Arabidopsis thaliana: one gene and its partner. The protein of the gene in region 1 interacts with the protein of each later gene in a pairwise test. Each region holds a gene or a part of one and is shown in the gene's direction. Other genes may lie near its edges.

Region 1 (3,755 bases):
ATGCACTTACTTGGAATGATCTCACTAACGAATAGGTTCTAGAATTGGTATTGTTGCTTTGTTTGGTGAAGAAATAAGATTTCTGGTAATTATACTTCGAACAAAGTGCATTGCCTCCACGATTTGCCAAATTTTGGATAGTTCTAACTTCTAACCATACTCCCACATCTTAATGATGGTCACTCATGAATCGTTTATTAACAAACTCCTCCCTGTCAATTCTGTTGCATCTTCTCTTTGTAGGTTATACTATCCAGACATATACCTAGATTTCACTTTTGTTTTCTTTCATTGAACTAAGATTTTGTCATTTATACGTGTCTCTATACTTTGTGTTAAGTAACTCTAAAAACTCTCTGTTTTGTGTTTTGCAGTCGGGATACGAACGTTTATGCTGCTTGCGCTGCATACAGCCAAGAGACCACAACTATGGAACAACATGTGTATGCCGTGTTCCCAAACACTTGCGTGAAGAGAAAGTGGTCGAATGCGTTCACTGCGGCTGTCAAGGATGCGCGAGTGGCGATTAAATTCAACATAGCTTTATTCGCTATCTCTGACTGTTTGTTACAATCTTGTCACTTGTTAAATCTGGATTATGTATTATTCCATAAAGGCTAAAAACCCTGACTAAAAATCTCCTTGCTCTTACTTATCAACTCTGGGTGGTATTGCAAATAAAAAGAACGTTCCGGTTTGGTATATAGTTGAAACTTGAAAGTAGAAAGACGTTTCCCGGTTTGGTATCTTACTGAATTAAAAGAGTGTTTTACTATTCCCAAAAGTGTCAATTTCTCTAAATTCGTGAGATTTGCAGCAAGTTTATCATGACGCCGTGAGTTATGTTTTGGTCAACCGGTGATAGAACAAGATATTATTGAAGCAGAAATAATTATTAATTCTTGTATTTATCTAGACGAAACTTGATTGCTTGATCCAAGGAAATTGTTTTGACTTCAAAATTGTATTGGTTCTCACTACAGTTGACCTGCCCCTATGTTTCCATGTGGAACAAGATTCTTCGTCTTGGTCATATGGATTAGTATTATTTATTTCTAATCTTATCGTGTAATGCATGTATGATGTATGTTCTAAACAAGATGTCCACCAAGGTCCAAAACGAGAAGAGATGCCCATTACGCTCGCTCTAGATGCTTTGTGAAACTCGATGGACTTTCTTCTCTTTAAACTCACATAACATACATACATGATCCAAAATCCATGATCGTTCTTTTTTTTTTTGGGTTCATTTTTCATGGTTTATTGGAAGCACAAAAGAAACCAAAAATAGGATCACAGTTCTTGGACATCGTTTAATACAAAACTAGAGGAAGTAAACATTAAAAAAAAAACTTGAAAAATTAGGGGAGGCTAAATCATTTTCTTGACGCGCTTGTAATAGGAGGAGCAATTGTGGTAAGTGGTTGGTGTGAATTAGAACCCAATTATCAACTAAGTCGAGTTTTGTTTAAAACCAATAAATTTCATATACAAGTTTGAAACTGAACATATAACTTTTTCTTTATATATCATAATTTTGAGTATAACGGATATAACATTTTACTTAAATGAGAAAGTACTATTGAATTATCCAGAAGACGTGATCCGATGGAAAAATTCGTATCACACATGATCTTTTCTTTTTATGGCACACCAGATTTTGTTTACATTTATAATTCGATTTCATCTTTTTCTTAGAAAAAATGGTCAAAGAATGCAGCTGGTGACCAACTAGTGACCATACAACAAGAACAAAATCTCATGGACTCTATTTAAGGTTTCCATAATTTAATTTACCGTATCACATTTCCAGCTAATTACACAAAACCGTCGATAAATAATTGTTTATAGAAAGAAATAAATACAAGAAAAACGTCAAAGGATAGCTACTATAAGTAAGGCAGACTTTAGGAACCCAAAATTCTGTTATTAATTTACAAAAACTAAAGAGTTTTTCACTTTTCAGTTTCTCTTCTTACCATTCACTCTAAAAAAACAGAGTCTTTATAAAACCGATCTCAGATTCTGAATCTGAATCAGAATCTGGATCAACATAATTTTCTAACAAAAAAAATGGCTTCGGGTGGTGGTGACGATGGGCTTCGTCGGCGAGGCTGTTCATGCACAAAAGACGATTTCTTACCGGAAGAATCGTTCCAAAGCATGGGGAATTACCTAAAAGCCCTTAAAGAAACACCGAGTCGGTTCATGGATCGTATTATGACTCGGTCACTAGACTCCGACGAGATTAACGAGATGAAGGCTCGTAGTGGTCACGAGATGAAGAAGACGTTGACGTGGTGGGATCTCATGTGGTTTGGTATCGGTGCAGTCATCGGCTCTGGGATATTCGTTCTCACTGGACTCGAAGCACGTAATCATTCCGGTCCAGCCGTCGTGTTGTCTTACGTTGTCTCTGGTGTCTCCGCCATGCTCTCCGTCTTTTGTTACACCGAGTTCGCCGTTGAGATTCCCGTCGCAGGTAACAAAATTATCATTTCCTCTGTTTCTCATTTATATTTATATTTTCGTTTTTTTTTTGGTATGTTATATTTATATTTTCTTGTTAGAGAATTTCTAATTTGAAAAAGTTGAAAAATATTAAAATTTACAAGTTTAAAATTTCATTTTTACATCTTTGAACTAAAGACGCATCTTAACAGATCCTATTTTTTTGTAACGTCGGTCATAAATATGCGAATTTCAAGAAAATGTTCAGACTATATTTTTTAGGATTAGTGTCATAAGTAGGAAGATAGGGAAAATACGTTTAAGCAGGCTAAGAGTCTCTTAGCTGGTTAAATTTAGTTTTAATTACGATTTACATGTTTAAACGAAACGCATATTTGAGGATATCTTTTCTAGCGATATTCTAACTATAGTGTCATCATAATTAGGGAATAGAAAAATGTAGCGTACATTTATCAAGATCTAATAAATATGCAGACGTATCATTTCTGACAACTTCGTCAATAAGAAAATATTCTACTTGATTCAATCATTTATGCTGGTGCATTTTTCCGGCAACTTAATCCTTCTTTTTTTGGTTCGGTGTCGATTAAGTTTTTGTCCCATGTTTTGGGAGTCACTAGTGGTTATGAGTCCTTTTTTTATATATCAGTTGCATAATTCACCTCAATACAACGACCAATAAAATATTCTGTTGATGTACAAAGAGTCAACCATACGATATGCTTTTAGTAATACTTCTAAACTCAACATTAATTAAAAATGTAGTTATTGTCTTACTTGTAAATTATTTAGGTTAAAACCAAAAAAAAAAAAACTATTTAGGTTTAAAATGTGTAAATGAATAAGATCAGCTTCTTTATTACAAAAATTACTATAGAACAAATATTGAATTTTCAACTCTCGTAGCGTGACGGAATCTCTGGGGTCAACTAGTTGACATCTGACTTATGAGGGTCGTTCACACTATCTAGTATCAATCTACTATTTATCCTCCGTTTTTTTCCTTTTAAATTTGATAGTAGCTACAATACTATCAAATCACAAATTAAACAATCGAATGATTTGATTATTATCTTAGAGTTGCAAAATATTTGTTGCCATTTATTAGATTGTTAGCTACTTTTAAAATTGTATTTAAAACTTTGTAATTTCACAATTTTAGTCATGGGGTCTACCTAGAAGACTTTTACATACAGACAAAGAAATTAAGCTAAACAGATGATTACTTACGTCAATGACCTTATATACGTAAGTCCCAACTATATAAGTCAAGCTTGTAAATT
Region 2 (3,755 bases), on another chromosome or scaffold:
CATGCAAGAACTTACACGAATCTCCATATCCACAGTATCCGGTTTCTTTGTAATCCTTGCAAATGTCTGGCTGGTAATCGAATCTAGCCGACACTCTTATGTGAGCAGAAGCTCTTAATGGCCCGTGTGAGCCTCCAGCTTTCTCGCTCGAGATTGTTTGTTCTCTTCTAAACCCAGCTTTGTGATCTGTATATCCATGAATTCCTTTGTACAGCTTCTCATCAGAAGCCTTTTTCTTATTCCCTTTCAATGCTTCGTCTGCTTTTTTAAGAACTCTCTCACGGATAGCTCGTGCGTCTTGATTGAAGTCGGTCTCAGTTTCAAGGGTTGCTGTTGCTCCACTGTCGTTCTGAACCTGGATTTCCTTGGATGAATCGTAGTGAAAGACGGACCTCTCAGGAGCTCCACTCGTTGTAGTAGAACTCTTAGATGGTCCAGAAGAAAAGTATAACTTGCTATCGGGTTTTGCAACTTTCTTTAGATTTTGTAGAATAGAGCTTTCGCTTTTCGAATCTCCGTCTTCTTCATCAGCGTCAATGGTTCTTTTTCTTATGTTTTTACTTTTCGTTGGCTTCTTGAAGAAAGTGCAAACTGAAACAGAAGAATGATTTGATTAGTGTAAATGAAAATTTCTAGCTAACAACGAAGAACAAGAAAAAATCTCAATGAGACGACAACTAGAATTGAGATAGAAGGAAGTATATGTAACCTTGTTGAGACTGAGTTTCTTGGGCAGCAGGTTGAGGTAGAGGTTCTTCTTGCTGAGAAGGTTTAGGCTCACCAGAATCTGACATAGTTAGATATAAGACTATGTAACAAACACAAATCACCCACTTGTAATTTGCTGCTTAGTGTTTCCCTGCAAAATTCAAGATTAGTATTAAGTCAATTTCCTGAAAACTTGTAAATTTGTTTGCACTGAGTCAAACAACAATTTTATCAAAATTTCTCCAGATTCAGTTACAATAATAGACAATGCAACATAAAAATGATCACCTGAATTCTTCCTAATTCATCTACGCGAGCTCACGAATAAACCCTAGCTAACTATCTATATCGGTGGCAATTTCATTCACAGTAGATAAGGAAGCAGAAATAGAAGCTCCAGACAGATCAATCCGAAACACAGTTCGACAACTCGATGTGTCAACGGAAGCTACAAAATTTGGAATCTAAAAACCCTTTGAATTGATTGAAATTGGAGACAAAAGCTCGAACAACACTAAAGACTAAACAAGAACGAAAAGTAGATCAAAAGTATGGAGATTAAACACAAGGAAGAATATGTTACCTTAAAAAAAAATCTAAAAATCGACGCCGGTGAGCTACACCGTCAAAAAGAACGACGACGCCGTCCGTATTTTCCGACAGAAAATAAATCAGTGTGAAGAGAAAAGAAATAAGGAACATATGGTGGGGCGGTTACTTCATTTTGGGTCATGAATCTAAATGGGCTCAATATTCATAATGGGCCCGGTACTTAAAATTTGGCAACTTGCTTATTCTCGCCGTCTGACTTTGACCAAGTCATTCATCTGAATGAAATTGTTTTATGAAATGATTTTCAATTGAACAGACTTTATAATATTTAATTGCATAATATTCCTCTTTCCCTCCCTTTTTGTCGTATAATAAAATTCTCATATACTACTTTTCCAGGAAACAATATACAGAGAGAGATACAAGTAACCGCCATATGAGTCTCTCTCTCTTTCCAGCGACGACGGGACCAGTTGCTTGAATTGAAGAAAACGCCGTTCACCGACTTCCGTTTATTAGCCGAATCTTACTATCTCGCCGTTACCTACTTCGTTTCAGGTTAGTTTGATGATAGAATTTTGATTCCGATTTCCGTTTTTGTTCTTTTTCGTCTGAATTTATTTTGCTGTTTCTCAGAACCGAAACGCTTAGATATATGTCTTTCGTTTATGGTCAATGGTTTTTTGAAATTTGGATTTCTTATCTTTGATGAACAGTGTTTTTAAGTTGTTCGTGTGGTTTCCATTTATTGAGCAGGAATGGGTAGGAATTACAGGATTTGGTATAATCTAATGTTAGGTGGAAATTGACTGATTCTAGGTTCTCTAATTAACCTTTTCAAGAAAGAAATATTTAAAAACACATACACACAACACAATTGTATTTGTAGTTAGGTGTCTACTTGCTTATTTTTAATTGGTATTGGGGATTATCATTGTACGTAATCATGTAGAAGAATTCGTATGTCTTAAGTTTTGGTTCTTATTATAATGTTAGGACTCGTCACCCTGTAAGCGAAAGATCAGTTGAAATATACAAGGGTTTGGCTGATGGCATTTAGCCATGATAATCGTGTAAGGTTGGTAGTTACAGAAAATCTTGAAAACAGTTCATAGTTGAATGATTTTTTCTACTATCTCATTTTCTTATGATTTTGTTTAGGTTCAAAGATGAAGGCAAACCATTATCCTCTGAATATGGTTATGGAAGAAAAGCTAGACCTTCTTTAGATAGAGTTTTCAAGAATGTAAAATGGGGATTCAAGAAGCCATTGAGTTTCCCTTCACATAAGGATCCTGACCACAAGGAAACATCTAGTGTTACTCGGAAGAACATCATAAACCCGCAGGATTCGTTTCTCCAGAACTGGAACAAAATATTTTTATTTGCTTGTGTGGTTGCTTTGGCGATTGATCCATTGTTTTTCTACATTCCCATTGTCGATAGCGCAAGGCACTGTCTTACTTTGGACTCAAAGTTGGAGATAGCTGCGAGTTTGCTTCGTACGCTCATCGATGCCTTTTACATTATTCACATTGTGTTTCAGTTCAGGACAGCTTACATCGCTCCTTCTTCGCGGGTTTTTGGAAGAGGTGAACTGGTAGATGATGCTAAGGCAATAGCCTTAAAGTATCTCTCTTCTTACTTCATCATTGATCTACTCTCTATCCTTCCTCTCCCACAGGTAAATGACTAGTTTGATTACTTGTTCAAAATGTCAATGATCATTTCTTTTTGAATCCTCTGGCTTCTTAACTTTTGCAGATAGTAGTTTTAGCCGTTATTCCAAGCGTCAACCAGCCAGTCTCTTTGCTAACAAAAGACTACCTTAAATTTTCCATAATTGCTCAATATGTTCCTCGGATTCTCCGTATGTATCCGCTTTACACTGAAGTGACAAGAACATCTGGCATTGTTACTGAAACAGCATGGGCTGGAGCTGCTTGGAACCTCTCTCTCTATATGTTAGCCAGTCATGTGAGTTTCGGATCTTTTGATGACTGAATCTTTATACATGTAAATGCATATTAAAGGTTATATGTTAAACTTACTTATTCAGGTGTTTGGAGCTTTATGGTACTTAATCTCAGTAGAACGAGAAGACAGATGCTGGCAAGAGGCATGCGAGAAGACAAAAGGTTGTAATATGAAATTCCTCTACTGTGAAAACGATCGTAACGTTAGCAACAATTTCCTGACCACTTCTTGCCCATTTCTCGACCCTGGTGATATAACAAACTCAACCATCTTCAACTTTGGCATCTTCACTGATGCTCTTAAGAGTGGCGTTGTTGAATCACATGATTTCTGGAAGAAATTCTTCTACTGCTTCTGGTGGGGTCTTCGAAATCTGAGGTTTGTAAGACACACATAAAACTGTTGACAATAACTAACTAGCTATATTTGGAGATTTTAAGCCGTGAAATGACCTGTTTATATTTGCATCTTAAGCATATATATCTGTCACAATTTAAACAAGTCATCATTCTCACAAG

What was found. Proteins that work in one complex are often made in the same cells at the same time.
Region 2: the proteins of AAT1 (region 1) and CNGC10 interact in a protein complementation assay, tested with the Arabidopsis thaliana proteins (one large-scale study listed by BioGRID).

Annotation. Positions count from the first base shown.
Region 1 is NC_003075.7:11,268,245-11,271,999, forward strand, and holds the start of AAT1 (amino acid transporter 1), read left to right. Parts: upstream 1-1,740; 5' UTR 1,741-2,073; coding exon 2,074-2,482; exon of another isoform or gene 2,483-3,720; intron 3,721-3,755. Other genes in the region: AT4G21110 (G10 family protein), read left to right, coding at 375-530. UniProt on the Arabidopsis thaliana protein: High-affinity permease involved in the transport of the cationic amino acids (e.g. arginine, lysine, histidine, citrulline, valine, and glutamate). Transport mostly basic amino acids, and, to a lower extent neutral and acidic amino acids.
Region 2 is NC_003070.9:133,771-137,525, reverse strand, and holds the start of CNGC10 (cyclic nucleotide gated channel 10), read left to right. Parts: upstream 1-1,601; 5' UTR 1,602-1,818; intron 1,819-2,203; exon of another isoform or gene 2,204-2,256; 5' UTR 2,257-2,309; coding exon 2,310-2,338; exon of another isoform or gene 2,339-2,407; coding exon of another isoform or gene 2,408-2,421; coding exon 2,422-2,944; intron 2,945-3,024; coding exon 3,025-3,237; intron 3,238-3,319; coding exon 3,320-3,615; intron 3,616-3,755. Other genes in the region: AT1G01350 (Zinc finger (CCCH-type/C3HC4-type RING finger) family protein), read right to left, coding at 1-591, 710-794. UniProt on the Arabidopsis thaliana protein: Probable cyclic nucleotide-gated ion channel.